Linked DNA regions of Macaca mulatta. The protein of the gene in region 1 binds, or shares a complex with, the protein of each later gene. Links are inferred from orthologs where the notes say so. Each region holds a gene or a part of one and is shown in the gene's direction. Other genes may lie near its edges. The genes, in order: SART1, LSM8, UBL5, LSM7, LSM4, LSM3 and LSM6.

Evidence for each region.
Region 2: SART1 (region 1) and LSM8 share a complex: the UniProt entries of both Homo sapiens proteins name them as parts of the U4/U6-U5 tri-snRNP complex. The link is inferred for Macaca mulatta from reciprocal best matches to the Homo sapiens genes SART1 and LSM8.
Region 3: the proteins of SART1 (region 1) and UBL5 are in contact, whole or in part, in a crystal structure (PDB 4PYU), measured with the Homo sapiens proteins. The link is inferred for Macaca mulatta from reciprocal best matches to the Homo sapiens genes SART1 and UBL5. Residues at the interface, in NP_005137.1 of Homo sapiens: Ser117, Leu118, Ser119, Ile120, Thr123, Leu126, Arg127, Leu130, Leu132, Lys133, Leu135; in NP_001041706.1 of Homo sapiens: Met1, Glu3, Arg15, Lys17, Cys18, Asn19, Asp21, Asp22, Asp26, Lys29, Leu30, Ala33, Gln34.
Region 4: SART1 (region 1) and LSM7 share a complex: the UniProt entries of both Homo sapiens proteins name them as parts of the U4/U6-U5 tri-snRNP complex. The link is inferred for Macaca mulatta from reciprocal best matches to the Homo sapiens genes SART1 and LSM7.
Region 5: SART1 (region 1) and LSM4 share a complex: the UniProt entries of both Homo sapiens proteins name them as parts of the U4/U6-U5 tri-snRNP complex. The link is inferred for Macaca mulatta from reciprocal best matches to the Homo sapiens genes SART1 and LSM4.
Region 6: SART1 (region 1) and LSM3 share a complex: the UniProt entries of both Homo sapiens proteins name them as parts of the U4/U6-U5 tri-snRNP complex. The link is inferred for Macaca mulatta from reciprocal best matches to the Homo sapiens genes SART1 and LSM3.
Region 7: SART1 (region 1) and LSM6 share a complex: the UniProt entries of both Homo sapiens proteins name them as parts of the U4/U6-U5 tri-snRNP complex. The link is inferred for Macaca mulatta from reciprocal best matches to the Homo sapiens genes SART1 and LSM6.

What each region holds. Positions count from the first base shown.
Region 1 is NC_133419.1:8,455,685-8,459,615, reverse strand, and holds the start of SART1 (U4/U6.U5 tri-snRNP-associated protein 1), read left to right. Parts: upstream 1-1,131; 5' UTR 1,132-1,178; coding exon 1,179-1,491; intron 1,492-3,217; coding exon 3,218-3,275; intron 3,276-3,684; coding exon 3,685-3,740; intron 3,741-3,931. UniProt on the Homo sapiens protein: Plays a role in mRNA splicing as a component of the U4/U6-U5 tri-snRNP, one of the building blocks of the spliceosome. May also bind to DNA.
Region 2 is NC_133408.1:157,715,904-157,719,907, forward strand, and holds the start of LSM8 (LSM8 homolog, U6 small nuclear RNA associated), read left to right. Parts: upstream 1-1,204; 5' UTR 1,205-1,333; coding exon 1,334-1,364; coding exon of another isoform or gene 1,365-1,429; intron 1,430-2,756; coding exon of another isoform or gene 2,757-2,763; coding exon 2,764-2,804; intron 2,805-4,004. UniProt on the Homo sapiens protein: Plays a role in pre-mRNA splicing as component of the U4/U6-U5 tri-snRNP complex that is involved in spliceosome assembly, and as component of the precatalytic spliceosome (spliceosome B complex).
Region 3 is NC_133424.1:10,532,519-10,536,633, forward strand, and holds UBL5 (ubiquitin-like protein 5), read left to right. Parts: upstream 1-1,315; 5' UTR 1,316-1,425; exon of another isoform or gene 1,426-1,476; coding exon of another isoform or gene 1,477-1,545; intron 1,546-1,682; 5' UTR 1,683-1,693; coding exon 1,694-1,749; intron 1,750-1,945; coding exon 1,946-2,029; intron 2,030-2,191; coding exon 2,192-2,229; intron 2,230-3,639; coding exon 3,640-3,683; 3' UTR 3,684-3,706; downstream 3,707-4,115. Other genes in the region: PIN1 (peptidyl-prolyl cis-trans isomerase NIMA-interacting 1), read left to right, coding at 1,477-1,545. UniProt on the Homo sapiens protein: Ubiquitin-like protein that plays a role in cell proliferation and sister chromatid cohesion by associating with spliceosomal proteins. Participates thereby in pre-mRNA splicing by maintaining spliceosome integrity.
Region 4 is NC_133424.1:3,075,559-3,079,628, reverse strand, and holds the start of LSM7 (U6 snRNA-associated Sm-like protein LSm7), read left to right. Parts: upstream 1-1,270; 5' UTR 1,271-1,299; coding exon 1,300-1,305; intron 1,306-1,388; coding exon 1,389-1,479; intron 1,480-1,546; exon of another isoform or gene 1,547-2,635; intron 2,636-3,070; exon of another isoform or gene 3,071-3,154; intron 3,155-3,244; exon of another isoform or gene 3,245-3,666; intron 3,667-4,070. Other genes in the region: SPPL2B (signal peptide peptidase-like 2B), read right to left, coding at 1,081-1,146. UniProt on the Homo sapiens protein: Plays a role in pre-mRNA splicing as component of the U4/U6-U5 tri-snRNP complex that is involved in spliceosome assembly, and as component of the precatalytic spliceosome (spliceosome B complex).
Region 5 is NC_133424.1:18,849,963-18,854,084, reverse strand, and holds the start of LSM4 (U6 snRNA-associated Sm-like protein LSm4), read left to right. Parts: upstream 1-1,322; 5' UTR 1,323-1,428; coding exon 1,429-1,431; intron 1,432-4,122. UniProt on the Homo sapiens protein: Plays a role in pre-mRNA splicing as component of the U4/U6-U5 tri-snRNP complex that is involved in spliceosome assembly, and as component of the precatalytic spliceosome (spliceosome B complex).
Region 6 is NC_133407.1:152,980,496-152,984,654, forward strand, and holds the start of LSM3 (U6 snRNA-associated Sm-like protein LSm3), read left to right. Parts: upstream 1-1,359; 5' UTR 1,360-1,412; coding exon 1,413-1,433; intron 1,434-4,000; coding exon 4,001-4,111; intron 4,112-4,159. Other genes in the region: XPC (DNA repair protein complementing XP-C cells), read right to left, coding at 1,024-1,123. UniProt on the Homo sapiens protein: Plays a role in pre-mRNA splicing as component of the U4/U6-U5 tri-snRNP complex that is involved in spliceosome assembly, and as component of the precatalytic spliceosome (spliceosome B complex).
Region 7 is NC_133410.1:154,723,947-154,727,938, forward strand, and holds the start of LSM6 (U6 snRNA-associated Sm-like protein LSm6), read left to right. Parts: upstream 1-1,192; 5' UTR 1,193-1,252; intron 1,253-2,574; exon of another isoform or gene 2,575-2,678; intron 2,679-3,992. UniProt on the Homo sapiens protein: Plays a role in pre-mRNA splicing as component of the U4/U6-U5 tri-snRNP complex that is involved in spliceosome assembly, and as component of the precatalytic spliceosome (spliceosome B complex).

The sequences.
Region 1 (3,931 bases):
CACCCAGCTAATTTTTGTATTTTTAGTAGAGACGGGGTTTTACCATATTGGCCAGGATGGTCTCGATCTCTTGACCTTGTGATTCGCCTGCCTCGGCCTCCCAAAGTGCTAGGATTACAGGCGTGAGCCACCGCGCCCGGCCTGCACTGGGGTTTTAAGTCCCAGTAGTTTTTTTTAGGGCTCCTCTCCTCAAGAAAAAAACTCATACACACAGATGTGCCACATTTTGCATTCAATTTCAGGGGTTCCAAGGATACACTGACGCTCATGTGGCGCTCCTTCAGTCTTAACAGTTCACGGGGCGCGGGTTTAAAAAATCCAATCCAGGGCTGGGCGCAGGGGCGCATGCCTGTAATCTCAGCATTTCGGGAGGCCAAGGCGGGTGGATAGCCTGGCTTCAGGAGTTCGAGACACCCCCCGCCCATCTACAAAAAAATACAAAAATTAAAGGGGCGTGGTAGCGTTCATTCGTAGTAGTCCCAGCTAGTGGGAAGGCTGAGGGGGTAGGATCACTTGAGCGCGGGAGGTCGAGGCTGCAGTGCGCCGTGATCGCGCCACTGCACTCCAGCCTGAGCAACAGAGTGAGATCCTATCTCAAGGGAAAAAAACAAAACAAAAAAACCAGGGAACGTGGGAAGGAAGCGTTCCCTAACGATACTAGTTATAGCGGGTCGGAAACTGGGCTATGGAATTTGAGATAACGGGAAAACAACACCCGTTGAAGCCACGACCCTAGGAGTCCACTAAGCGAGCGCCCATTGTAGGAGGGAGGTGTCTACGGAAAGGCCGTGAGGTAGTGAACACCCCGTTGTCGGTGAAGTGCAAGCGCAGGGATGCCGGGGAGGAACTTCCAGCCACGAAGACACTGGCTTAATGCCCTCTAAGTCCTTCCAGTTCTGGGATCCCATCTCCGGGTTAATTCCGCTTCCCTTGAGTAGCGAATGCACAACGGGACCACTGGCTCAAAGAACCCACCCGACCCGCGACGGCGCGAATGTGCAGTGGAGCAGTGATCCCGGTCTTCCCATGAGCCTCTGGGGCCGGCTCCAGGGCGAGCGACGGAAGCAGCCGCTCTTAGTTTCCGGCAACACGACAGCGGCTGCCGAGCGACCCGGAAGTATTCCCATTTTGCGTTGTCTGGGCTCGGCGGTAGCCGGGCTTGGAGTGGACGTGCCACTATGGGGTCGTCCAAGAAGCACCGCGGAGAGAAGGAGGCGACCGGGACGACGGCGGCGGCCGGCACCGGGGGCGCCACCGAGCAGCCGCCGCGGCACCGGGAACACAAAAAACACAAGCACCGGAGTGGCGGCAGTGGCGGTAGCGGTGGCGAACGACGGAAGCGGAGCCGGGAACGTGGGGGCGAGCGCGGGAGCGGGCGGCGCGGGGCCGAAGCTGAGGCCCGGAGCAGCACGCACGGGCGGGAGCGCAGCCAGGCAGAGCCCTCGGAGCGGCGTGTGAAGCGGGAGAAACGCGATGACGGCTATGAGGCCGGTGAGGAGGCGGGGCCTGCGCAGGGGGCGGGTCGGGCAGGGGTCCCAGAACGTGCGGGTCTGGGTGTGCGCACAGTGTCAGCAAAGCTCTCCGGATCGGGAAACCCCCAGACTGTCTATATCAACTCTTATTAAATAGTCTTTCTACGGGATCCCATGAGCCCAGGAGTTAGAGGCTGCAGTGTGCTGCGATCCCGCCAGTGCACTGCAGCCTGGGCAACAAAGCGAGACTCTGTCTCAAAAAAGCTTTTCTACGATTGTTTGGGATTAGAGGTAGACTGTCTCCACCTGGCTCCTTGAGGATAGAGAGCTTCCGTTTTTCTCAGTTGTCTGGTACAGTCACAGATTCTCAATAAATGTGTTGAATGAATGAATGAAGTAGTGTCAGCATATGCAGAGACAAGAAAAACCTGGTATTTGACGAATCGTATTGGACGAATCGTGTAGGGCTCCTGGTAGAGAAATGAAGGAGTAAGATAGGCAGGGATGTGAACGCAAAGGATCCTGTACTGTAGGCTCTGTTAAGAAATGTAGATTGTCTTGACAAGGTAGTAGGGAGCCTTGGCTGTGAGTTGAGGAGTGAGTTGCTCAGATCCGTATTTTGTAAACATTACTGGATTGAGAACTTAGTCAAAGGTAGTCAGGATTGGAGACCAGGAAATCAGGAGGGCTACAGACCAGGTGAGGGCTGATGGTGGCCTGCACCAAGGCAGCAGCAGTGGAGTGGAGAGAAGTGGACAGGTTGGAGAGGTGTTTTAGAGGAGGAATGAACAGAACTCAGTACTTGTATGAGGGTGGGAAGGAGAAGGAATTGAGGATGACTCCTTGAATTTTGGCTTGAGCAGCCAGATAGGTAGTGGGTGTCATTTCTACTGAAATTGAGGAGTAGGGAAGAGAAGGAGATTTGGAGCAGGGTGGGGGAAGATAATTCACTTTTGGGGTTGTCAAGGTTTATGTGCATAGGGAAATCCAGAGTTTGGACTGGATAAAGCCATTGGGAGTCAGTATCTGGGTGGCCAGTGAAGCCCGCGAAAGAATGCGACATGAGAAGCCGGGGTCAGGAATAGAACCTGAGAAATGCCCTTATGTTAGTAGTAGGCAGAGAAAGATGTTACCAAAAAAAGGAGATAGAGTAACCAAAGAGGCAGGAAAACCTTTGTGTCATGGGAACTTTGGAAATAGAGTATTGTTAGAAGGAGGGAGTGATCAGCAGTCCCATATACCACAGGAGATCAAGGAAAACCAGAACTGAAAAGAACCCGTTAGATTAGAAATGAAGGAGACTGGTGACTTTGGGGAGCCTGGAGAGATTGGGATCCAGGGCCCAGGTGGAGAGTGGAGCCTTTAAGATACAGGATGGGAATGCAGGAAAGGAAGAGGTGTTTTTTTTTTTTTTTTGAGACAAAGTCTTGCTCCATCTCTTTAAGAGACCTTGTCTCTTAAAAAAAAAAAATGAAAGAAAAAAGGAGAGGGCAGAATGGTGACTGTAGCAGTTTGGATCTCTTGGGTCAGGATAGGAAGGTGCGCAGAAGAGGCAGGGCTCTGAGACTGGACTCGGGCAGAGGAGCTGCTGGGGAGCTTGGGTGGAAGAAGCTGCTGTTTTCTGGTGTTTCATCAGGCCCAGGTGCTGGTGAGGGGCCCTCATCTTTGATCCTGCAGTTGGAGGCACTGATGCTGGCTTGTTGGCCCTATGTTCAGCTCCTGAGCCATGCTTCTTCTTCTTCCAGCTGCCAGCTCCAAAACTAGCTCAGGCGATGCCTCCTCACTCAGCATTGAGGAGACCAAGTGAGTACTGTCTCCCTTGTTTCCACTTTGTTTTTCTAAGATAGGTGGCTCTGGGGCCAGCCCTGGGGAGGCTTTCTCACATGAAAGTGTGCTAATTGGAGTTGGAAAGGTTGTATAGATCATTTTAGCCAACAGTAGAGTTATAGAAGAGGAAACTAATACCTAAGAGTAAAGTGGCATTCACCGGTTAGATGCAGACCAGGCTGGCGCCCATGTTTCCTGCTTTGGAGGCCAGGGCCCTTCCCAGTGTCCTAGGCTTCCTGGGGCAGACCGTGTGTTTGGGACCGCTCACTCCCACCCTGTTTCTTCTCCTGTCTGTTTGGAAATGCACATGGCACCCTGTGTCTTTGATAGCCCGTAACACTTGTATCCTTTGATAGCCCCTAACACTTGTATCTCTTGTTCTCAGTAAACTCCGGGCAAAGTTGGGGCTGAAACCCTTGGAGGTCAATGCCATCAAGAAGGGTGAGCATGGGGCTGAGGATGGGGTTTGGGGGAGAGGGCCATCTGAAGGGGTCTTTGAAGAAGGTGGGATTAGAGGGCAGGTTCAGCACGGTTTAGTGGTCTTACACATGCATATTTGCCGGAAGGCACGAGGTCCCTTCTTGCTGTTCTAATGTGGACCTGGGGCTCTGCTTGTTTTCTGAGTTAGAGCC
Region 2 (4,004 bases), on another chromosome or scaffold:
TTTGTGGAAGACACTTTCATTTGTTACCCTGAGAATATGAGACATTCACAATCTAATTCCTGACTACATTTGATTTCAAACAGATCGGAATAACTTCCAGAATATAAAATTTTAACTATTTGGGAGTCATCTTGTAGGTATCTTGTGGGTATGCTCTAATTAAGAAATGCTTCCTTTTCCCAGGAAAACTGCTGACATTGCAAGAGTTATTCCAAAGCCACAATTCTTAAGAAAATACATGTTTAACCTAAATCATAAAGATATTTTGTAAAAAAGGGAAATCGCTCCTGCTGATGTTTTGTGTATAAATCTCTTTCTAACTTCAAGCTCTCTCAAGTTAGGGCAACACAGTAAATAAAGTGGGAACAGTATCACATTGGGAAATATCTGAAATGATACCTATGGCACTATAAGGAAACTGAGGCCCAGAAGAATTGAAGTGACCTGTGCAATGACACCAATACGTTAGCAGAGCCAAGATTAGAACCAAGTTTGGTGCCTTCCTGCATCAGTCCTTTCTTGGTGCTGAAGGAGCCTTTTATTTATTAATTTCACCCTGGAGAATTCCGGCAGACCATCCCGGCGTGGTAGAAGCGTGAACATTCGTTTTCTAAGGGATGGTCACACACCTTTTTCTATTTACATTTAGTTTCTTTAAAAAGTAAAAACACCTCCATTTTGGACCACTTTTAGAGACAAAAGCAGAACATACGAACGTGCATTTCATTGTTGAGTTCTTAAGACGCTTACACCGTGTGGTTATAACGTGCGCAACTTTGTCCCGGCCAACTGGACTTATTTTTAGTGTTATTTTCGGCTCCTGCTGCAGAAAACTAGGGATTCAACTACCCGCACCCGCATTTCACACAACAGCGCTCGTCTACTCTCCTCCTTCACTCCTAATAAAAAACGCCTTATCCTGTTTCTTCCTGCCTGCTCTACCTCAACATTTTCACTTATTATCTTCCACCACACTGGGTTTTACTCGGATTGGAAACCCACTCTCCCCCAACTTCTCTCTCGTACCCCACCTTCGGGAAGCGTCCTCCTTTTTTCCGCCTCTCGTTCCCTTTGTCTTACACGGCTTCCGGAACACGGCCCAGAATTACAGCGAAAACACACTGCGCACGCGCACTCTCTCGTCAGAGCGGCGCTGCTTCTGTTTGGTTGGCTAGTTCGTCCCAATTTCCGAGTCAAAGGGCTGCGGAGCAGCAACTCTCACGATATTTGCGGCGGCTCGCAGACGCGAACCGCTGCCGAGTTCTGGCGCGCCCTTTCAGTTCTGCTTGTGGCCGGCACCACTGCGTTATCCGGAACTGCCGGTCCGAGCAGCATGACGTCCGCCTTGGAGAACTACATCAACCGTATCCTCAAGCTGGCCGCCGCGGGCGTGAGCCGGGGCCGCGGAGAGACCGCCGCTCGGGGATCGGTGGGAAGTTGGGAGGCCCGGCCGCGGCGGGATCCTGGGGGCGGGCGAGATGAGGACCCCGGAATGACCCAGAGTTCGGCGGCGGCGCCTAGAGCCTGCCAGCTGCTGCGGGCCCAGGGGTCCTTTCCATTTTGTCTACAAAAGCCAAATAAAAACCCAGTGTGATTTTTCCGAACTTTTCTGTCTTAAAAAAAATTACGCTCTTGATTCTTCCTTACTATTTCCCTAGGGCATAAGTGTTCAAGTTTGTAAATAAGATGAACAGTCGTCCTGGCTGCGACAACAGTTTTGCAAATCTGTGTACTTGTTTTATTCACATAATATGCTCATTAGTTCGAGGATAGCAGAAAGTTTAACGATGGTTCACAGACTGTTTCTGTCCCTTTACCACTTGAAGACCCTACCTGGTGGTGGAATGAAAAAAATGCTTGCTGTTGTAATGGATTATAGTGAGGAGCAAGTAACAACCCCACGGGAAGTCTTAAAATAGACTTTACAAGTGTTACCGTTTTAAAGTCTCAGAACAAAAACACTATGTTAAGTTCAGGTACAAACTGGGTGACAAAAATTAAATACCGAATGCTTTTAATGTTACAGGCATTGTTAGTACCTTGTGACACTGATTATATAGTTTATTTACTTTTGAATTACAGAAGCCTGCCCCGGAAGACAGTTTTTTAACATGCTTGAAAATCGTCCAACATCGATGAATTTAGTACTCATCCAGTTTTCATTTTAGATATAAACAGGCCCAAGAAACGAAATATCCTGTCCGAAATAATAGATTGGCAGCATTCCTAGTAGAAAAGTGTCAAAAATCCAGGATATTTTGAGATAGGATACACCGATCACATACAGAAAGAGGTTTTCTTTTCTATTTTTTCCTTTTTTTAGTCATGTAATTATCACAAAACTAAAACAAGCTTTTAAAAAATTTTTTTTCTTTCTTTTTTTGAGTCGAGGGTCTCACTGTGTTGCCCAGGCTGGAGTGCAGTGGCTTGATCATGGCTCAATGCAACCTTGAACTCCTGAGCTCAAGCTATCCTCCTGCCTCTGCCTCTGTCTCCTGAGTAGCTGGGACTATAGGTCACCAGGCCAGGGTAGTAGAGATGGGGGGGGTCTCACTGTGTTTCCCAAGCTAGTCTCACCTCAAGTGATCCTCCTGCCTTGGCGTCCCAAAATCTTTCAACGTTTTTATGTAGTGAACTTAGTGGCTGTGTTGAACACTTTTACCTAATTGTCATATTTGTTCTAATAATTTAAATCATTACCTTGCCAGAGTCTGTTTTCAATTTGCATTCCCTAAGAAACACTTTCCTTTATTCAGTTATCAGGAACTGTTGCCGTTATTACATCTGATGGGAGGATGATTGTGGTAAGTCTTCGGAATTTTCATTCTCTGCTTTCCTGTAGGTTTATTGGTTGCAAGTTTTATGTGAAACCTCTGATCTCTAATGCCTAGACAGCACATTACACCTGTAGTGCAGTTTTATTATAATTCAGCTCTTTATCACTTTGCTGTCAATCCACGTTTTCCTCACTCATAAACGTGGCGTGTTACCTACAAGGCTTCTAGGAGCTAGAGTTATAGATTCTGCCCTCAGAGAGCTCCTAGTCTGCAGACCTTCATTAAACTTACTTTTCTTCTTCCATTTTTATTTCCTTCCTCATTCGGCACCACATGAATCAGAATTTTTTGAAATTTTGCATATGCTTAGTAACTTTTTAATGATTTAGATACTATTAATATCTACATATCAACATTTAAGGCTTGTATACAATCTTAACATTCTTTGTTTTTAGGTTGTGTGACATGTCTTCTGTAGGACACATTATGATGATTGACTCTCTCTATATACACATATTTACGTAAAATTGGCTTGTTCCTTGAAGTTGTTTCTCCCTTGCTAATTTATGTCATATAACAAAGATAAAACGTTCCTATGGTGATACTTGTATTTGGAATTTGATCTGAGGAATTCATCTCAAGATTTTTGGGTACTTGATTATTTCTTCACTTAAAATTCCTACTCCAAATGCTTTCAAAAGAATTTTAAGGCTACTAAACTTTTCTAACCCTACCTAGTTTCTTTAAATAATTTGATCACTTATTTTTCCATTCTGCAGTTTTGCTTTCGTTTGTTCTTAGTGACTATTGTTAGTCAAAGTTCTAGCTTTGCCATTTACTAAATTTATATCGTGTGCCAGGTGCATATGTGTTACATTAATTAATGTACATACAACCTTGTGAAGAATAAGTACCCCTGTATTCTAGATTAGGAAACAAGTTCAGAGAAGGTGACTCACTTTCTCAGAGTCACAGGGTAGCAGGTGACAGAACCAAACTGGGATTTAAATTTGCTTTGACATCAAAGCCAAGGCCAGTTGCCTGGCTTCTTTCTTAAGGAAGCAATCATGTTTTCTTAGGCACCTCACATTGTATTTTTTCAAATGTGGACAGTTTGACATATTTTAACCTCAACACTTCAAGAAGCCTATTGCTATTAATAGATGTTTGCATTATTTTTTATTTAGTGAAAACCTTACGTTTAAATTTTCTTATTTTTGTTAACAG
Region 3 (4,115 bases), on another chromosome or scaffold:
AAGTAAAACCAGAGAGCAGAAGCAAGGTGAAGGGGCGGGTGAGCAAGAAGCAAGATAAATGGCAGAAGCTGAGGAGACAAAACAAAAGGAAGATTAAAAACTGAGTAAAAATCCCATGGCCAGGGAAATCAGGACCAAACCAGTAAGGAACAGCTCTTTAGGCATAAGCATGCGCATTAAACACAAAAAGTATCCTTAACGTAAGGATAACCAGCTCATTAGCGCTCATGCATATGGACGGCATATCATGCAGGTACTTAAAATTATGGAATGAAGACGGCCCTCAAGCGCACAGGGGCCAAAGTAACTAAGCAACACACCTATCATTCAAAAAGGTAGACACTGGCTACAGATTAGGCAGCCTTGGGAAAAGAAGAAAAGCCTGGCTAACATGGTGAAACATCATCTCTACAAAAACTACAAAAATTAGCCGGGCGTGGTGGCGGGCGCCTGTAATCCCAGCTACTCGGAAGGCGAAGGCTGCAGTGAGCCGAGACCGCACCATTGCACTCCAGCCTGGGCAACACAGCGAGACTACGTCGGGAAAAAAAAAAAAAGACCCAAACTACACCAAGCTGGGGCTGATCTTATCTCGCAGAGGTCAGTCCGCTCTCCCCTCCGAGAGTGGAATACTGTGCTTAATAAACTTGCTGCTTTGCTATCTCTGTGTGACTCGTTCAAATTTTTGTTCGGGGCACCAAGAGCCTGCAACTGTGCGGTAACAGCAGCTATTCGGCAGCGTAGAGTCTAGTCCAGGATCCAGCTTCGCCTATTGACTGGAGTCCGCATCCCGGGGGAATGCGATGGCCAGAGGGCAGAGGTGAGCAAAATGCTCACGACGCCCAGCCCTGAATGAACCCAGGGGGTCAGAAGGGATGACTGCAGAATTCGCTCCCCCTACTCCCTCCACCCTCGCTCCTAGTAACCGCATAAAGAGGCTTCGGGCCCCCACCCCCGGGACCCTCTGGTGTCCCACCATGTGACCGAGTCTCCCTGCAACAATGACTTAAAAAGAGCTGGGGCCAGCGCCGGACCTCTGGCTCTCGCTCCACGCCCTTTCCCCGGCCCCACACCCGCCAAGACCCCCCTCTCTACCCCACGCGCCTACCGCAGGCGTCCCCCTGCCAAGCCTTGGGTCACGGAAACCGTACTTGTGAACCGCAAACACACAACAGACTGCAGACCCGGAAGAACCTGAGCCAGTGTTGACCACACCGCCTGGCTAGGGGCGGGACTTCCGGCCCCGCGTTTTTACTTCCGCTTCCGGTTCCCAGCGTCAACTGCAGCCGGGGTTCTGCGCTCGGGTGAGGAGCTAGTGGCGTCGGCAGGTTCGAGGCGATTCGAGGTGAGGGGGTCAAGCGGAGAGGCTCGGAGTTGGGGAAAGCTGTCGCGACCCAGCCACCCAGGGTCTGGGGTCGGTGGGAGGTGAGGCCAGGGAGTTTCGTGTCAGGGCATTCAGGCGTCGAGAAGGGGCGGATGCGCGGCTGCCTGGGGTTCGCGGCCCTGGGACAGGGGACTTGGCCTGGGAGTATTCGAGTGCGGGGGGTTGGGAGCAGAACGGAAGGCTCAGTAACCGAGAATTTTAGGGCCTGGGACTGGGAGACTTGTAGGCTGGGGCTTCTGGGTCTGGGAGACGCCCGAAGCTCTGATTTTGCTACTTCCCACCCCACTGCTCTGTGTAGCTCCAGCTAGGATGATCGAGGTTGTTTGCAACGACCGTCTGGGGAAGAAGGTCCGCGTTAAATGCAAGTATCCACTGGCAGCCGAGAGGCAGTGGTACTCGCAGGGGTGCTTGGCGTGAGGCAGGCAACTCAATCCGTTGTCGGATGGTTTTAGTTAAACCCGGGAGAGGGGGCGGATGGGGTCCTGGCAGATGGTATTCAGCCCTGGAATGTCCTCTTCCTCGTTCTACCGCTCCCATTTGCCTTAACTCCTCTGCGCCCAGCACGGATGATACTATCGGGGACCTTAAGAAGCTGATTGCAGCCCAAACTGGCACCCGTTGGAACAAGATTGTCCTGAAGAAGTGGTGAGTGCAGTAGTAGAGCCACTGGGTGGACTGGACTAGGCCGGAAGGTTTTGGTTTGGGGGAGCGCTGCAAGCAGCCCTTTGCTTAGGCTGGGCTACCTCATTCGGCCTCCAGGCTGAAGAGCCTACTTAGCCTTATCTCTGAAATGTCTCTTTTCCTTAGGTACACGATTTTTAAGGACCACGTGTCTCTGGGGGACTGTATCCTTTGTGTGACTTCTTGAGGAAGCATCTACATACCCAGCCTCGGTTATCTTCGTTCCAAACTAAAGTCTGCATGAGATAATGTTTATTAAGTGTTTAACTTAGTACGTGGCACATGGTGAGCACTTAGAAAGTGGGAGCTAGGCTGGGCGCGGTGGCTCACGCCTGTAATCCCGGCACTTTGGGAGGCCGAGGTAGGCGGATCATAAGGTGAGGAGATCGAGACCATCCTGGCTAACACGGTGAAACCCCGTCTCTACTAAAAAATACAAAAAAATTAGCCGGGCATAGTGGCGGGCGCCTGTAGTCCCAGCTGCTCGGGAGGCTGAGGCAGGAGAATGGCTTGAACCGGGGAGGCGGAGCTTGCAGTGAACCGACATGGTGCCACTGCACTCCATCCTAGGCAACAGAGCAAATACTGTCTCAAAAAAAAAAAAAGAAGAACATGGGAGCTATGTAATTATTTGGTTGGGGAGAGGGTAGTTGGTGAAAGTTTGACTTCAAGTTCAAAATATTTATTACTGACCTCCACCTGAGTGCTGGACAGTAGGTCAGGGTGGGGTGAGACTTAGGTATATCTATTGTGCAGAAGGAACAGAAACTTTTTGAATTTTTATTTTATTTATTTTTTTGAGACAGTCTCGCTCTGTCGCCCAGGCTGGAGTGCAGTGGCGCGGTCTTGGTCCACTGCAACCTTCACCTCCCGAGTTCAAGCAATTCTGCCTCAGCCTCCCAAGTAGTTGGGATTACAGGCCTGTGCCACCACTCCTTGCTAGTTTTTGTATTTTTAGTAGAGATGGGGTTCTGCCACATTTTCCAGACTAGTCTCGAACTCCTGGCCTCAAGTGATCCTCCCGCCTCGGCCTCCCAAAGTGCTAGGATTATAGCCATGAGCCACTACACTTGGCCTAGAAGGAACAGAAACTTTTTTTTTTTTGAGATGGAGTTTTGCTGTTGTTGCCCAGGCTGGAGTACAGTGGCACAATCTTGGCTCACTGCAGCCTCTACCTCCTGGGTGTAAGCGATTCTCCTGTCTCAGCCCTCCAAGTAGCTGGGATTACAGGTGCCCACCACCACACCCAGCTAACTTTTTTGTATTTTTAGTAGAGATGGGTTTTCACTGTGTTTAAACATCACAGTGTTGGCCAGGCTGGTCTCAAACTCCTGACATCAAGTGATCCACCTGCTTCAGCTTCCCAAAGTGCTGGGATTACAGGTGTGAGCCACTGCACCCAGCCAGAAATTTTTTGGTAAAGTTTCAGTTCTCTCCAAATAAAAATGGCCTGGTCCAAAATGGGCTTCCTTAGCCCTGAACTGAGACCTCAGGCCACCCTGACCCAGCTGTGAATGGATGAGAGGGGTGGGGATGGAAGCCAGAGTCAGGATTCCTTAACACCTTTCCTTCAGATGAAATCCACGATGGGATGAACCTGGAGCTTTATTACCAATAGATGAGAATCCTCATCTTCCTGCTGCCCTGCTCTCCTTTCCCATCCTCATCCCCCACACTGGGATAGATGCTTGTTTGTAAAAACTCACCTTAATAAAGACTTAGATGTTGCTTTGTTGCTGTCTCTTTGCATGAGAGCTGTCTAGTGATGGATGGATTGGTCGCTGTTAGGTCATCACTGCACCATCAGTATGTACCTGCTGAAATAAGAGCTCCAGATCAACTGGATCCATGAGGGCAGAGTAGACCAGCAGGCTGGGAGTCTGTGTAGGAGCCCAGAGAGAGCTCTGGGGTTTGCTGTGGGTGTCTGAAGGTCAAGAGACGCTGGGATTATTGTCACCCTAATAGACCAAAGAGCCTCCAGGTCATGACAGTAGATGGAATTGTTAGGAATTAAGATTCTGAAATCACACAGACCTGAGGAGGTATAGAT
Region 4 (4,070 bases), on another chromosome or scaffold:
GCTGCAGGCTTCCCTGGCGCCAGGTCACAACTGGACGGCACGTTCATCCAGATGCGACATGGACTGACATACTTTGAAAGGGTCACTCCTGCTGTGTCGAGGATGGACTAGGGATGTGGGGGACAAAGGCAGCCACAGCAGGGGGATGGCGGTGGGGCTGGAAGAGTGGAGACTAAGAAGGAGCCCAGTGGCAGCAACGCCTTAAGAGAACTCTGAGAGAGGAGTGAAGGTTAAGGGCCGCATTTGTGAGGCTGCTCCGGGTTCCATTCCCTGAGCCACCAAACTCAGGTAAGAGGGAAGACTTGGAATTAAGAAAATAAAAGATGCAGTTACGACAGTGCCATCTCGTAGACTGTCCCCGCTAGAACCTGACACTCTACATCAAAGGATACACAATGAATATAAGGAAGGCGTGCTGTCCCTAGGCGCTGGTCACCCTGGGTAGCATCTCCAGAATCCACACCATAGTCGACCCCCCTTCTCCAGACGAGCAACCGACGCTCAAAGCAGGGAATTCCCTCGTCCAAGGTCACGGAGTAAAAGATGGAGCGGGGATACGACCCCAGTGCAGGGCTGGGCTCTTGGCCGCTCCAGGATGCTGGCCAGTCACTGGGGGACACGCGGGACGCCTCTGGGTTCCCCCACCGCACCCCCTAGGGTGAGGTTAGCTTAGCACCCGGCCATTCCGCCTAAAGGGAAACTGAGGCTCGGAGCGGGGTGGGCGGCCGCCTGCCCAAGGCCACAGAGCGGGAGAGAGGCGTCCCCCGCGGCGGCTGGAGACCCCGAAACGGACAAGCAGAACCGGGAGATGGAGGGGGCACAAACTTCAGGCCCGGTGGGAAGTGAGGGGCGCTGCAGCGGCGGAGGGCCTCCGAGGCGGGGAAGGGAGAGAAGCCGGGGACAGCCCCGCAAGGTCACGGCCGGGCCCCGGCACCGCCGGCCGACAACGAGGGGACCGCGGATCCCCGAGGCTCGACCCCCCAAGACGGGCCAAGAGGGGTCGTTCCTGCGCGTAGCCTCGGGGCCGAGAGGCCGAAGGGCCGCAGCCTGCGGTGCCGTCGGGACCGGTGCCGCGCTCACCTGGGCCGCGAGGAGCAGAAAGGCCGCCACAAGCCGCGCCAGCGCAGCCGCCGCCACCGCCGCCATCTCGGCCGGTGCCCGCCGCAACCGTCGGCAGATGTTTCCCAGCAACGCCCCGAGACCCCGGGCCACGCATGCGCCGCGCATGCGCGTGGGGGGGGAGGGGAGAGGTCACAGGGCACGGGGCGGTGTCTGCGAAGAGCCGCACGGCGCGACAAGATGGCGGTGAGCGCGCGGCGGAATCCGGAGCCGGGGGGCGTGGGGCTCGGGCCGCGCTCCAGGCCTCATGCGCTCTGCTTTCCCCGCAGGATAAGGAGAAGAAGAAAAAGGAGAGCATCTTGGACTTGTCCAAGTACATCGACAAGACGATCCGGGTGAAGTTTCAGGGAGGACGCGAAGGTGAGGCGGCTCCCGCCGTTGGCACCCCCCCTTTAAAATTTTAAAATAAACTCAGCAAGAGAGGTGATGAGGATGCATGCAGAGGCGCCTCTTTTATTTATTTTTATTTATGTATTTATTTGAGACGCAGTCTCGCTCCGTCGCCCAGTCTGGAGTGCAAGTGGTGCGATCTCAGCTCACTGCAACCTCCGCCTCCCGGGTTCAAGCGATTCTCCTGCCTCAGCCTCCTGCGTGGCTGGGGCTACAGGCGCCACCACTCCTGGTTAATTTTTGTATTTCTAGTAGAGACGGGGTTTCACCATGTTGGCCAGGCTGGTCTCAAACTTCTGACCTCAAGTGATTCGCCCGTCTCGGCCTCCCAAAGTGCTGGGATGACAGGCGTGAGCCGCCGCAGAGGCGCCTCTTTACACGCTTGACGCCGACTACCTTGTGCAGGCTTCCGAATTACGCCGGGAGGTAGGAACTGGTATGGCCATTTTGCAGGCGGGGAAACTGGGGCAAGGAGCGGGAAACAAACGTAACCCAAAGTCACAGTGGCGCAGCCGGTATTGGGATTTCCGGCTTGGCCTCCAGAGCAGTCCTGTGTGTCCAAGGACTGCCCCAGATCCCCACAGATCTCCCGGCTTCTCCTCTTCCTCCCTCTAAGTCAAGGTCTTTCCCGCACAGCAGTGTGGACACATTTGGGGCCGGATTCTCTGGAGTGGGGCCGTCCTGGGGCACTGCAGGGTGCTGAGCAGCATCCCTGGCCTCCACCAAGTTGTGACAACCTAAATAGCCTCAGACATTGCTTAGTGTTCTCTGGGGATAGGATCGCCCCCCGACCCCCAAGCTGTGATTGGGAATCACAGCTACTAAGGTCAGTCTCCACTCAGCGGCCAGAGGCACCTAATGAAAAAGAAATGGAGGCTTCTTGCTCCCTGCTGAAAAGCTCTGAGGCTCCCCGTTGTTTTGGAGTAAAATCCGAATCCATACTTCTGATTATGACTGCAAAGGGCGGCAAAAGCACAAGTTCCACAGGTGCTTGCTCTGGGAAGCCCTCCCTGACCCTGGCGTCAGGCCCCCCATCGTTCTAGGATCCTGGTGGCACCTGTCACCGTTTGCGGTTTCGTGCATGTTAACCTGATGCTTGCCTCTGCCTGCGACTCTTCCATGGAATCTAGTGAAGACAGGGCGAGCTCTCAGAGGGCAGGAAGCATTCGCATGGGCAGTGGGCTGGTGATGCATGCTGCAGCTCTTGGCGGGGCGCAGGGACTCACGCCTGTAACCCCAGCACTTTGGGAGACTGAGGCAGGCGGATCATATGATCAGGAGATCGAGACCAGCCTGACCAACATGGGGTTTTGTGAAACCCCATCTCTACGAAAAATACAAAAAAATTAGCTGGGCGTGGTGGCGCACACCTGTAATCCCAACAACTCAGGAGGCTGAGGCAGGAGAATCTCTTGAACCCAGGAGGCAGAGGTTGCAGTGAGCTGAGATCGCGCCACTGCACTCCAGTCTGGGAGACAGAGCGAGACTCCGTCTAAAAATAAATAAATCACACACACGCACACACACAGCAGAGAAAGGGTTTGCTCCCTGAAGGACTCACCTGATATGGTCAGGCTCACCCAGGGTGTTTCCCTCTAGATTGGCTCAAAGTCAGCTGGTTCAGGGGCTTAAACAGCTGCATAACCTAAGTGCAGGAGTGACGTCATGTCCCCTCAGAGTCACAGGCCCGAGCCCACACCCCGGGGAGGGGAACCTTGGTTAGAGACCTACCTACCTCAGTGCTCACATCTGTCCCCGTGAGGAGGGCTGGCTCACTGGTCAGGCTGGTGCCAAGGACCTGAACCGCTGCGTCTGACCCCATCTCATAGGTGACAAGTTTCATTTTGCAGGGGAGGGACTTGAGCACAGAGAGAGGGAGCCGTGGAGGTAGGAGCTAAAGCCTGTATGCAGGTGGGCAGACCTTCTCTGTAGAAGGCCAGACAGCAAATATCTTCAGCTTTGCAGCCCAGATGGTCTCTTGTCACAACCAGTGAGCTATGCCCGCAGAGCAGGAGAGCCGCCCTGGTCAGTGCCTGAGCGGGCGAGTGTGCTGGTGGGCCAGTGAAACTTTGGCATACAGAGATGAGCGGTGGGCCACTTTCGCCTCTGGTCGTAGTTCGCAGCGCAGAACGGCCATGGACAGGCTCACAGCCCTGCCTTGGGAGAAGATAGGCGGGCAGAATAATGCCTGGGGTGCCTGCTTCCTGAGATTGGTGGGGGGCATGCAGAGGGCAGCACCCTAAGGGGTGTGGGTTGGTGTCTGGAGGAAGCACCTGAAAGATGACAGGGGTAAGAAGGAGGGTAGGGAGCGGGTGGCTGTGGGACGCCCCTCAGTGAGCGCAGAGGCGGAACCGCTCCTGGGCCTGGGCTGGAGGAGCCTGGGGGGAGAGGACGGGAGTCCCGGACAGGGAGGGTGGGCTGGCCTCTGCTGAGGACACGCAGCTCCCCCTTCACCCTTCTCAGTGTCACCAGACACTGCGGAGCAGGATCAGATGGCAGAGGTCACCACCGGGTCAGAGAGCCCTAACCCAAGGTGCCAAGTTGTGACCTAAGGCGGCGAG
Region 5 (4,122 bases), on another chromosome or scaffold:
GGCGTGTGCCTGTAATCCTAGCCACTCTGGTGGCTGAGGCAGGAGAATCCCTTAAACCCAGGACGGAGGGATTGCAGTGAGCTGAGATCCCACCACTGCACTGTAGTCTGGGTGATAGAATGAGACTCCATTTCAAAAAAAAAAAAAAAAAAAAATAGGGTCTTTGCAGATGTAATTAAGGATCTTGCGATGACATTATCCTGAATTTATGGTGGGCTTAATAAGAGAAAGGCGTGTCCTTATAAGAAAACGGAGAGGCTGGGCTCGGTGGCTCACGCCTGTAATCCCAGCACTTTGGGAGGCAGAGGAGGGAGGATTGCTTGACCCCAAGAGTTCGAGACCAGCCTGGACAACATAGGGAGACCCTGTCTCTACAAAAAAAGAAAAAAAAAAGGAGAGAGTCGTTTGAGACTCAGAGACACACAGAGAAGGCCAAGTGACGACAGAGGCAGAACGCGGAAGGCTGCATCTACAAGCCAAGAACTCCGAGGTTTCCCAGCAGCCACCAGAACCCAGGAGAGAAGCATAGGACACGCAGATTGTCCTCAGAGCCTCCAGAGGGAGCCAACCCTACTGACAACCTCATTTCATTATTCTGGTCTCCTGAATTATGAGAAAATCACGTTCTGTTGTTTTAAGCCTCCCAGTGTGTGGGCATTTGTTACAGCAGGCCCCAGGGAACTAATAGCATTCGCCTATTTACTTTGTTTACTGTCTGTCTCCCTAAGGGCCACGAATTTTGTGTACTGTTCATTTCTATGAGCAGAAGCAGGCACAGAATAGGTATTAAGTACTTAATATATGCCAGACGCTGTTTTAAGTGCTTTTACACGGTTTCATTCATTTCATCCTCATAGTAAGTAACGTTTTGGAGCAGACACTACTATTTACAGGGAGAAAACTGAGGCCCCGAGGGTCGTGGTCAGGATTCCAACCTACTAAATGATGTTCCCTGGATAATTACAGAATCAGAAAACTAGGAGTCCGAAGGGCGACACCAGGGACGTCCCAATCACCACGAAGCCTGGATTTCTCTCCCTCAACTGCAAAGGCAGTTACTGGCTTTGCCCACAGCGTGGAGCCCAGAAGACCGACGAAGGTTTCACCTGCGCACGCGTTTACCCACAATGCACCCCGCCCCGGCGCGCGTTGCTCCGCCCCCTTTTGTATTACAAGCCGCGGCACTTTACGGCTCTCTTCCTCGTTCCTCTGGCGGGAACACGGCCCGGCCCGCCCCTTTCGCCTAGCGGGCCCCGCCCCACTCCGCGTGGATTGGTTAACCGCCCTTCTAGCCCGGTGCTGACTGGCTCGCGTCTCTGCCACTTTCTTTCAGCCCAGTGGCGCGCGGCGCGGCGTGGCGAAGACCGCCGGGAGCGTGTGCAGCGGCGGCGGCGGAAGTGGCCGGCGAGCCCGGTCCCCGCCGGCACCATGGTGAGGGCAGAGCAACGGCGGGGTCTCACCGGGAGGCGGGAACCGCAGTCGTTAGGAGCCCTGCGGGCGGGCGCTGAGGGCTGGGTTGGCGCGGGGCGAACGTACGGTCCGAGCCTTGAGTCCCGTCCCCCGGCACAAGGCCGGGAAACTGATGCTGGAGACTGCAGGTGGTTCTACCACGTTCGTGTCTGGGATTTAGGGTTGCACGTACTCGTATCCACAGTACAGTGGCCTCGCCTTACTTAGTTTTCCCATTTTGCAGGTTGGGAAACTGAGGTTAAAAAAGTGGGGATCTGCCAAATGCAACAGAGAGTTTTTGGGCAGGGAAGGGGGTCCCTTACGCTTCGGACCCAGTCTGACCTCCCAGATTGAAACCTAGAGTGCTGGGAAGTAGGGGGCCAGTCTGAGTTGTGAAACTTGGTTTTAGGAATTTCAGAGCTTGTAAGATGCTTAAAATGCTAGCAGCAGAGCCTCCTAGGCCTCTTGTTTTCTGGCTGAAAAGTAGGCCTGGTGCTGGGGTGTGGTGTTTCTCCTTGGTTCACAAAGCATGTCATTCCAGAGGAAGGGAGCGTTTTGAGCTAGGGGTGGGCAAAGTACATCCTCCCCGTACACAGAAGGAAAAATTGCAGCCCAGGTCTCTGCAGGGCCACATTGTTTATGATTCTGTAAGTTCTGGATCTGGGCTAGAAAGTGCCTGTGTCTCCCAGTGTGCAGATCAGAAAAGGAATCCAGAGCTGGGAGTTTCCTGGCTCATCAGCATCTGGCCCTTCTTTTTTCAATGAGAGAAACCAAGGCCCTTGTTGGGGATGTGACTTCCAGACTGTGAGACAGTGGGAGATTCAGTAACCAGGAGGGCCCCCCAGGGGTGGCTGCATCAGAACTGTGGATTAGTGAGAGAGCTCTCCCTAAATCCAGCTGGTCAGTGTGTAGCCACCCAACGGGTTCACCTTGCCTGCTTCCTAGACAGAGCCCATTTATCAAGACAGGGCAATTGCAATACAGAAAGAGTATTTCACACAGAGCCAGCTATGCAGGAGACTGGAGTTTTATTACTGCTGAAATCAGTCTCCCCTGAGCATTAGGGGATCCGAGTTTTTAAAGATAATTTGGCGGGTAGGAGCTCAGGAAGTGGGGAGTGCTGATTGGTTGGAGCTTCCTGAGGTTGGAGATGGAGTCATTGGCGGGGGGGGGGGGGGGGGGGGGGCGGGGGCGGGGGTTGAAGTGAGATTTTCTTGCTGTCTTCTGTTCCTGGGTGGGATTGCAGGACTGGTTGAGCCAAATTACTGGTCTGGGTGGTGTCAGCTGATCCACCAAGTACAGGGTCTGCAAAATATCTCAAACACTGATCTTAGATTTTATAATAGTGATGTTATCCCTAGGAGCAATTTGGGGAGGTTCAGACTCTTGCAGCCAGAGGCTGTATGACCCGTAAACAATAATTTCTAATCGTGCAGCTAATTTGTTAGTCCTACAAAGGCAGACTGGTCCCCAGGCAAGAAAAGGGTCTTTTCGGGAAAGGGCTATTACCAATTTTGTTTCAAACTATACACTAAATCCCTTCCCAAGGTTAGTTCGGCCTATGCCCAGGAATAAACAAGAACAGCTTAAAGGTTAGAAGCACGATGGAGTCGGTTAGGTCTGATCTCTTTTCGCTGTCATAATTTCCTCAGTTACAATTTTTGCAAAGGCGGTTTCAAGAGCAAGGATTTAGAGAGCCTGTCCCTCTGCCATGTACTTAGAGGGCAGAGTTGGCATGCAAGACTGGGCAGAGCTGGAAGGATCCACCCGTGTTAAGTTTTGTGGAAGCAGAATCTTTTTTTTTCTTCCAACTATATTCCCAGTGTGTAGAACGGTGCCTGGGCAAAGTGTGAACTCATTCATTCAGCCCCTTCCCACCTTCTGAACATCCAGAGTCCTGGCTATCCAGCCATTTCCTGGAGGAGTGGCCAAGAATGGACAAGGCATCATGGGATACACACTTCCAGTTCCCTGTGATCAGGGCAGGGCCAGAAGGAGTGGCCTGGGTTAGGAGCGGGGATGGGCAGTCCTGGACAGCTTCCTGAATTAGGAGGCACTGGATTAGGTCTTTGTGGATCTAGACCTGAGAACCAGATTCCAGATGCTGCAAGAAAGCCCACTAAACCTCCACCTCTCGGAGAGAGTGATTTTCCTGCCTCAGCCTCCCAAGTAGCTTGGGATCACAGGCATGCGCCACCACGCCTGGATAATTTGTGTATTTTCAGTAGAGATGGGGTTTCACCATGTTGGCTAGGCTAGTCTTGAACCCCTGACCTCAGGTGATCCACCCACCTCGGTGTGTCAAAGTGCTGGTATTACAGGTGTGAGCCACTGCACTCTGTACTTTTTTTTCTTTTTTGGAACTGAGCTCTCACTGTCGTCCAGGCTGGAGTGCAATGGCACAATCACTGCAGCCTCAACCTCACCGGCCCAAGTGATCCTCCCACCTCAGCCTCCCAAGTAGCTGGGACCACATGCGTCACTAAACCTGTCTAATTCTTACATTTTTTGTAGAGACAGAATCTTGCTGTGTTGCCCAAGCTGGTCTCATACTCCTGGGCTCAAGTGATCCTCCCACCTCAGCCTCCCAAAGTGCTGTGATTATAGGCGCAAGCCACTGTGCCAAGCCTCACCTGGCACTTTGATGTATCTTCTTTTAAGATTTTGAGGATC
Region 6 (4,159 bases), on another chromosome or scaffold:
CCATGGTGGGGGGTCACTCTAGGCCGAAGGAATATCAAAGGAAAAGGCTCAAGAAATAACTTGGCATATTTGAGGAAGAGAAAGGAGGCCAATGAGGAGGGTATCTGGCAAGGAAACAAGTGGTAGGAGAAACAGGAGAGGTAGCAAGAGCCAAAACACGTAGCATCTTGCAGGCCAGGATAAGACAACTGGATTTTAAACTAAGAGCAATGGAAAACCAAGGAGAGTTTAAAGCAGGAGCATGGCATGATTTTTTTTTTTTTTTTTAAAGATTATTTGCGTTGCTGGATGCAGAGCTGGGAGGCCAGTCAAGAGGAAACTGCAGTCACTCAACTGAAAGGTGATGGTGACTTGGACAGGGGTTGTGGCCATGGAAATGAAGAGAAGTGGACAAATTTGAAATACAGTCTGAGGCTGAACTGACTGGACTTGCTGACGGGACTGGATGTGTGCACATAAGAAAAAGGTGGACTTTGTTTTATAACAAGTATTGGGACTGGAAAAACGGAGGAAAGCATAGATTTGAAGGGGAAGACCATGAGCTCTGCACTGTCCACGACAAATGTAAGAAGCCTATCCAATATCCACGAGGGGAAGTCAGGTGGGATCCCACTGTGGAACTCTGGGCGAGACTCAGCTGAAGTTATCATTCGGGAGTCAGCACACTGCATCACTCTACGTCCTGGTCCGTCCGTCCGTTTTCCTGGGACACAAATAACTGCCTTCTCCGCGTTCAACCCTGAACATCTGCGCTGTATCCTCTGGACAACGGGGAGCGGGAAAGAAGCTACGCAGGAGCTTGGGTCGGGCGAGGCTCACGGGAAGCCGCTCTGGGTGCAGAGGACAAAGGCGCAGGGACAGCGGGGAGGGCCGGCCGCGGCCTGCCGTGCTGCCCCCACTGCGCGGAACGCGCGCAGCAACCTCCTCCCGGCCTCCGCGTCTGGACTCCCGCCGCCCCTGCCTCTGGGCCTCCTCCGCCCACCGGCAGAGTCTCCCGCGAAGCCCGCTGGGCCACGCTCTCACCCTCCTCCTCCTCACGCCGGGTCTTGCTCTTGGCCTTGGACTTCTGGCTGCGCGTTTCGCGTCCCCGCGGCTCCCCGCCGGCCGCGCGCTTCCGAGCCATATTGCTTGTCGGGGAAAAATCCACTTCGCGAGTGACGCACCAGGCCGCGATGCGTTAGAACGCAGGCCCCGCCCCGAGGCGGGCGCGTCTGGCCACGCCCCTTCGTTGGAGGCCTAGTCACGCCCCCAAAGGAAGCTCCGCCCCATACCCGTGGCCACTAAAAAACCGCGGGAAGCAGGCAAGAGCACAGCAGGTTTCTATTTCCGGTGTATTGTAGCATCACGTTTCCGGAGCTCGGCGTTGCTCTTGTGTTCTCGCGAGAGGCGGGAAAGGGCGCAGGGTTTGAAACATGGCGGACGACGTAGACCAGGTGAGTGAATTTTAAGGCGGTGGCTCGGCGCCGCTTCTTGTACTAAACTGCTTTTTCCAAACGCAGGAAAAATGGCCAGTCGCGCCTCTTCTTTCCAAGTCACACGGCCTAATCCGCCCCATCCTTTCCGTAAACACCCCTGTCCGAATTTTGCTGCAGGCCCTGAGGTCTTTTCCGTTAGAAGGCCACCTGATGACTATTCATCACACTCTTCGCTTTGTTTTTTTAAATCTGTAAATTATTATGCGTGCCTACCTCACGGAGCTGTCAGGATTCCAATAGAAAGCCAGATAATAAAGTTAGGAGTTGTTATTACTGAGCACAACAATTATTTACTCATTCAGCAGAGAGAGTGAACATCAGCTTTGTATGGTTAGACACTGTTCTAAGAGCCAGGGACACTGACATCGATATATAAGTGATCCTTGCCATGACTTGGAGCTTATATTCGCGAGGAGAACAGATAAATATAAATATGTAAGATTTATAGGAACTGTGATGTGCTATGAAGGAAACAAGGAACTGGTATGCAGAATAACAGATGGTCCTAGAAGCTTTTTCACCTGGTCTTTTTCTTCCTCAAATATCTTTGGAGATCATGCTACAACTTAAACTTTCTACTGAAATCTCACCTCCTCAGAGAGGACTTCTGCCCAAATAGCACTCCCCCTACTCTGCTTACCCTGCCTCATTTTTCTTCATAGAACGTTATTTTTTCATATTAAATGTATGCATCTTTGTTTAATGTGTATCTCTCCTGACTAGAATGTAAGTGCCATAACAGTAGGCATTTTGTTTTGTTCATTCTTTTGTCCTTGGGGTTTAGAACAGTGCTGGAAATACTCAACAAATATTTGAGTGAATGAGTTAGATGATCAGAGGAGGCCTCTTTTAAAAGCCAATGTATAAAGCTACAGGATGAAAAAGAACAGAAAGTGGGCATCCCAGACAGAGGCTTAGGTAGCAGTAGAGCTCTGTCATGTGCATATTCTTACAGTATTATAATTATTCATATGCCTATCCACATTAGAATGAGCTCCTTGAGGGTGGAGATTGTGACTTCTGTATCATTGTAATCTAACAGTTGGTTATCTGATCCTTTAACAAACACCTGTTGAACTGAGGGACATAGGGACCAGTTGAGTTAGGTTATTTTTTTTTCTCTCATCGGGCCTTTTGAATCTTTAGCGCCTGTTACGAATTCAGTTACCTTCCTCCACTGGCCTTGTGTACTTACTAAAGAAGCTCTCCTTGAATCATCTAACTCTTTAATGGCTGCAACCCTCCCTTCCATGTGGGTGACCCCAAGTCATCCTAGCCCTGACCTCTAAAACCAGTGTTTCCAGCAGTTCTTTAATAATATAATATTAGTAGGAATCTTTTCTTTTCTTTTTTTTTTTTTGGATGGAGTCTCACTCTATCGCCCAGGCTGGAGTGCAGTGGCGTGATCTCAGTTCACTGCAACCTCTGCCTCCTGGTTCAAGCGATTCTCCTGTCTCAGCCTCCCAAGTAGCTGGGACTACAGGCACGTGCCAGCACGCCTGGCTAATTTTTGTATTTTTAGTAGAGACGGGGTTCACCATGTTGGCCAGGCTGGTCTCAAACTCCTAACCTCAGGTGATCTGCCTTTCTCAGCCTCCCAAAGTGCTGGAATTCAGGCCTGAGCCACCACGCCCAGCCAAAAGGAACCGTTTCTAAGTATTAATATTTTCTGCTTTCCTGGCACTGTTTTAAATGCATTAACTAGTTTCATCCTCATAAGAATCCAGAAGGAAGGTTGTGGCTTTCTCAATTACAAATGAAGAATCTGAGAATTACAGATGGCATGATTTTTAATCTCAGTTCATAAGTGTCAGGTCACAGCCAGGAGTTGAACCCAGACTGCCTGACTCCAAAGTCAGTGCTTGCTTGCTTGTTGGCACCATCTTGGCTCACTGCAACCTCCACCTCCCAGGCTCAGGCAATCCTCCCACCTCAGCCTCGGAGTAGCTGGGACTACAGGCACATGCCACCATGCCCGGCTAAGCCAGTGCTTTGAACCAGTGTTCTATTCTGGCTACTAAATATTCATCTTACTGGCCAGTTGGCAGCCTAACCTCAACCTGTGCTGAATTCATAATCTTCCCATAAACCTACACCTCTACTTGGCATTCTGACTAGTATATGGTAGGCATTAAGTGAGTGTTTTTCCTATGATTACATAATATTTGAGATAAAGCTAAAGTTCCTAAGACCCTATACCCTGAAATCGGGTCAGGCAGTTTGGATTTTGAGGGAACAAAGTATAGTCATGATTATTTTGCTGTGTAACTCCTTCTTATGTATGCGTGTTTTAATCTACATTTATATAGCACATACTATGTGAAAAGTTCTGTTCTAAGCCTTCATATATGTCACTTAAGCCTCATAAAAACAGTATTAGGTAGACACTATTATCTCCATTTTACAGATTAGGAGACTGAGGCAGAAAAAGGTTAAATAACTTGCACATGGTCATACAGCATAGCAGTGATTTAAGCACTACTTTATCTCTAGTACTATATTACTAAACCTGTTTCTGTTATCAGCAACAAACTACCAACACTGTAGAGGAGCCCCTGGATCTTATCAGGCTCAGCCTAGATGAGCGAATTTATGTGAAGATGAGAAATGACCGAGAGCTTCGAGGCAGATTACATGTGAGTAAATTTATCAAGTTACCTTGAAATCAGATTCCTTCCCACCCC
Region 7 (3,992 bases), on another chromosome or scaffold:
TTTTTTTAATAATTTAAACAACCAGTAAGGAATGTGCAATTTGATGTCTTGCAAAGAAAGTTTTTAGGAACAGGCCTTTTTATCCTGTTATGTTTGTACTTTGCAAGTAATTATTTGATTTAAACAGTACTTTTCTTAAAATTTTTATTTATATTATATTTTATATTGCAAGAACTTCAAATACAGTCCTCTCAATAAATCAGTAACTGTTTGGTCTTTACCCAAACTGAGCTTTTATAGAAGGATATAAGGAAGTCTCTATTCTTTACCAAATCACATCCACTTGTTTTCTGTCCCTGATATCAATCAAAAGTTCATTTCTTCTGCCTTTAGCCAAAAGAAGGTTACAAGGGAGGAATTCTTTATCTCAGAAAAAAATTCTGCATCTTAGATTTTATAACACCTAATGGGGTTAAGGATCTGTGTTGGAAGATCTTATTGCTTTGTGTGTAGCGTTACAAACCATAAATAAAATTAAAGTAAGTTTTCAGCTGATGAGAGTAAAGGAATCAAGTCTTGGGGTAACAGTTCTCTTTTTTCCCCCTTCCAATCCCATTAATAGAAAGAGTGTTGAGAATTCATGCAAAATTCCAAACCAAGTTCCCATAGTAGCACTTAAATAATGTCTGCACACCATTTCCAATTGGAACAAGTTTTTAATGTAACACAATTAATGTCATTATAATTCGGAGTTACTTGAGTGATTTTAATTATTTTTTAATCAACATTGCCATGGAAACAGTCTCTTGCTAAAATGGCTTAAGTCTTCACACATTTAATAAATATCCAGAGGTAGATTTAAAGACTTGAGGTGTTTTATTTATTTATTTGCTTTAAACTATTCAAGGACGTTTCTGGGTACACAGTGCCGTTACTTAAACAGTAAATTCCAGTTTCCTATGACTTCAAGTTATTTTTTACACTTCTGCAAATAAATCCTGGACAAAAGATCACTTCTAGTTTCCTGGATTTTTGTTTTTGTTTTATATTATATTTGTTTTGTATTCAGATTTCTGTCAGAGGAACTCCAGTGCACCAATTTTGCTACTAGACAAAACAGGATTCTCGGATTTGCGCGCTTCGGCGCTGACAGGCTTTTCGGCCCCAGCGGGCTGCCGTAGCAGAGAAGAGCAGTGATTGGCCGAGGCAGAAAAGTGCCGCTGCCTCGGCGGTTTCGCTTTTGGCTGCGATCATCCGCGGAGGCCGGACTCGTGGGGCGCCTGGAGTGAGGGTTCTGGATCCCGCCCGCGAGGTGAGCCGCACGGCTGCGCGGGCCGATGACGGGGCCGGGCGTAGCCCCGGGTTCGACGCCCCAGTGTTCAGTCGCGCTGTGGAGCGGCGGCTGCAGCGGCCCTAGGCCGGGCGAGGCAGCCCCGGAAAGGGCCTGAGGGGAACGGGCTGGGGCTCCGGGAAGGGGCCGCTGAGTGGCAGCTTTCCGCGAAATGCCGCGTCCAAGCTCTCCGCTCACGGAATGGCCGGAGAGGTCTGATAGTGGGCGCCGGGACCGCCCTCAGCGAGGTGCTTAGACTGCGCAGAGAGTAGCGGCACCGTCCCGGCTCCCACCGAGTTGGCGTCCGAGACCAGTTGAGGTTGTTGAAGTTCCCCAGGGAGCCCCGAGGCTAATCCCAGGATTCGGCGGGAAAGCGGATCCCGAACCCAGGCCTAGGCTTCGCCAGTCTTCCAGGGCTTCAGGGAATTGCTAACCCTTCCCTACATCGGGGTGGCTGCGCCTGACCACAGGAATTAAGGACTCGACTCGCCTGTCTTACTGAGTTGTCAGGCCTAGGAACCCAATTGTATGGTCTTAAGTCCTATTGCCCGAGGTTTTCTGTGCGTTCGCGTGTCCGCGCGCGTGCATAGCAGGCGTTTTTAAGATGTGTAGCATTAGGATGAAGCGGATTACCCTACCCCACTGCTCTTAGTAATATGTGACTATTGTAGAAAATTGCAAACATGGAAGACTTTAGTGAAGAAATAGTATTCACAACCCTTTCACCTACAATCTTTTTCTCCTGTGTATGCTAGCTTCTACTTGAGCTAGGAGTGTACATGTTTAATCACTTAACAGTATAGTTTACCACTTCCATTTAAAAACTCTTCCTAAATATTATTCTAGTTTTGTATCTTCTTTTGATTGACTGTCCCTCATTGTGGATCGCAATGTAGGTCCCATAAATTATTCAGTCATTTCCCGATTGTGGGATATTATAGATTGTTTTTGAATTTTTGAATCTCTTAGCACCCCAGATAATACTTTGATAAACCTTTTCCCCCCTATTTTTTAGATTATTTCCTTGGACTAGATTCTCAGAAGTGAAATTATCAGATTAGATGCTTTCATCTGTAAGGCCTTTTTTAGGCCTTCGTACACATTGCTGCAGTGTTTTCCAAAAAAGTTTTTCAGGTGTTTGGCAATTTTACTTGCTTGAATATTGTACAGAAATCTTGAGAGGCTTATGTTTGTGGGTGTGTGTGTGTGTGTGTGTGTGTCACTGGAGTTAATGCGTTACTACCTGAATGTTAGGGCAGGAAGAGACTTAAGTGGTCATCTGGCATAACTCCCTTATTTTGCAGATGAGGAACCTGGGGCCATGAGAAGTGAAATGATGAGTTATCCAAGTCACACAGCTAATTAAGTAGCAGAGCTGGGATTAGAACTCAGGTTTCCTGCCTCCCAAGTGAGTACCCTGTGCTGCATCAGGCAGTCTCTCACTGAACTGTGGCATAGTAGATATTAGAATTTAAAAATTTGTTTACATCACCTGGATTATTCTCTCCTTTTAAAAGTGTACTAACAGATTAATGATCGGAGGGACCTGTAACACTGAGAAATTGGAAAGTGATTATTTTCATGGCTAAGACTAGAAATCCATTATTTAGAATGGCAACCCCTTCAAGATTTTGACAGTTGTTTTCAGGTTCCCTTTATGTTAGAATAAAACATCCCTGATTAATTATAATCTACACTCCATCATTTGGTTAGAATGTAGCTTTTGGTTATCATTTGCTGTACTTTGGAGATTTCTTTAAAACTCCTCACTTTAAAACCAAAGAACAATGTTGTTGGTGGTTTTTTTTTTTAGGGCTTATAGCGGAGATTCTCAGCTTCCATTGACATTTTGGGCTGGACAGTCCTTTGTTGTGGAGGGCGGTCCTGTTGTAAAATGTTTAGCAACATCCCTGGTCTCTACCCACTAGTATAGCAGTAGCACCACCTTCCTCAGTCTTGACAGTTCAGTGTCCCCAGATACTTCCAAATGTCCCTGAGCAGGGTGGGGTGGGGTTGGGGAAACTGCCCCTAGTTGAGAACCATTTGCTTAAATAAATTATCTGGAGAACTTCATAAAATGTAAAATACAGTGCTTTTACCTGAGTAGACTTCAGGAATCTGCATTTTAACAAGCATCTCTAGATTTGGAAACAGCTGGTTCTTGAATGACAGAAAGGGTTGTTTTCTCCGTCTTTGGTGGTCCTAATAGAGATTACTTGGTTAGTATTTGTTGAAGTACGTGCATGATCCTACTAGTCACTGTATCCATAGTTTGGGTTGGTGGGGGCTGGACAGGGATTTTGCTTGGCACTGGCCTTGAATGTCTCTTCCACAGACTTGGGCAGTGTGCTTAGGTACCAGGGATACCAAGTGAGTAGGATATTTCCCCTGTCCCCAAGGAGCTTAAAACTCACCATGGGAGACCTGTCAGCAAATGGAAAAATTACAAAGCAGCCTGATAAGGACCATGACCGAGAGTGGAAAGAGGTGCTCTGAGTGGACTCACTTCGCCTTTGGGAGAGAGGGAGAGAAGTAGCGCCTGCTGCTCAGGAAGGAGGGATTGGTATGAAGCCTTCACAAGACAGCGAGGCACTCCACTGTGTCAGAAGGGAGGACTTGGAGAGCTGTTCTTCTCCGTGTCTGATCGCCTCCTCAGACACTGATCTGTTAGTCTAGTGCTGCAGTTACTTGGATTGTAATGTTTCCTTGCAAGTTTTTGCTT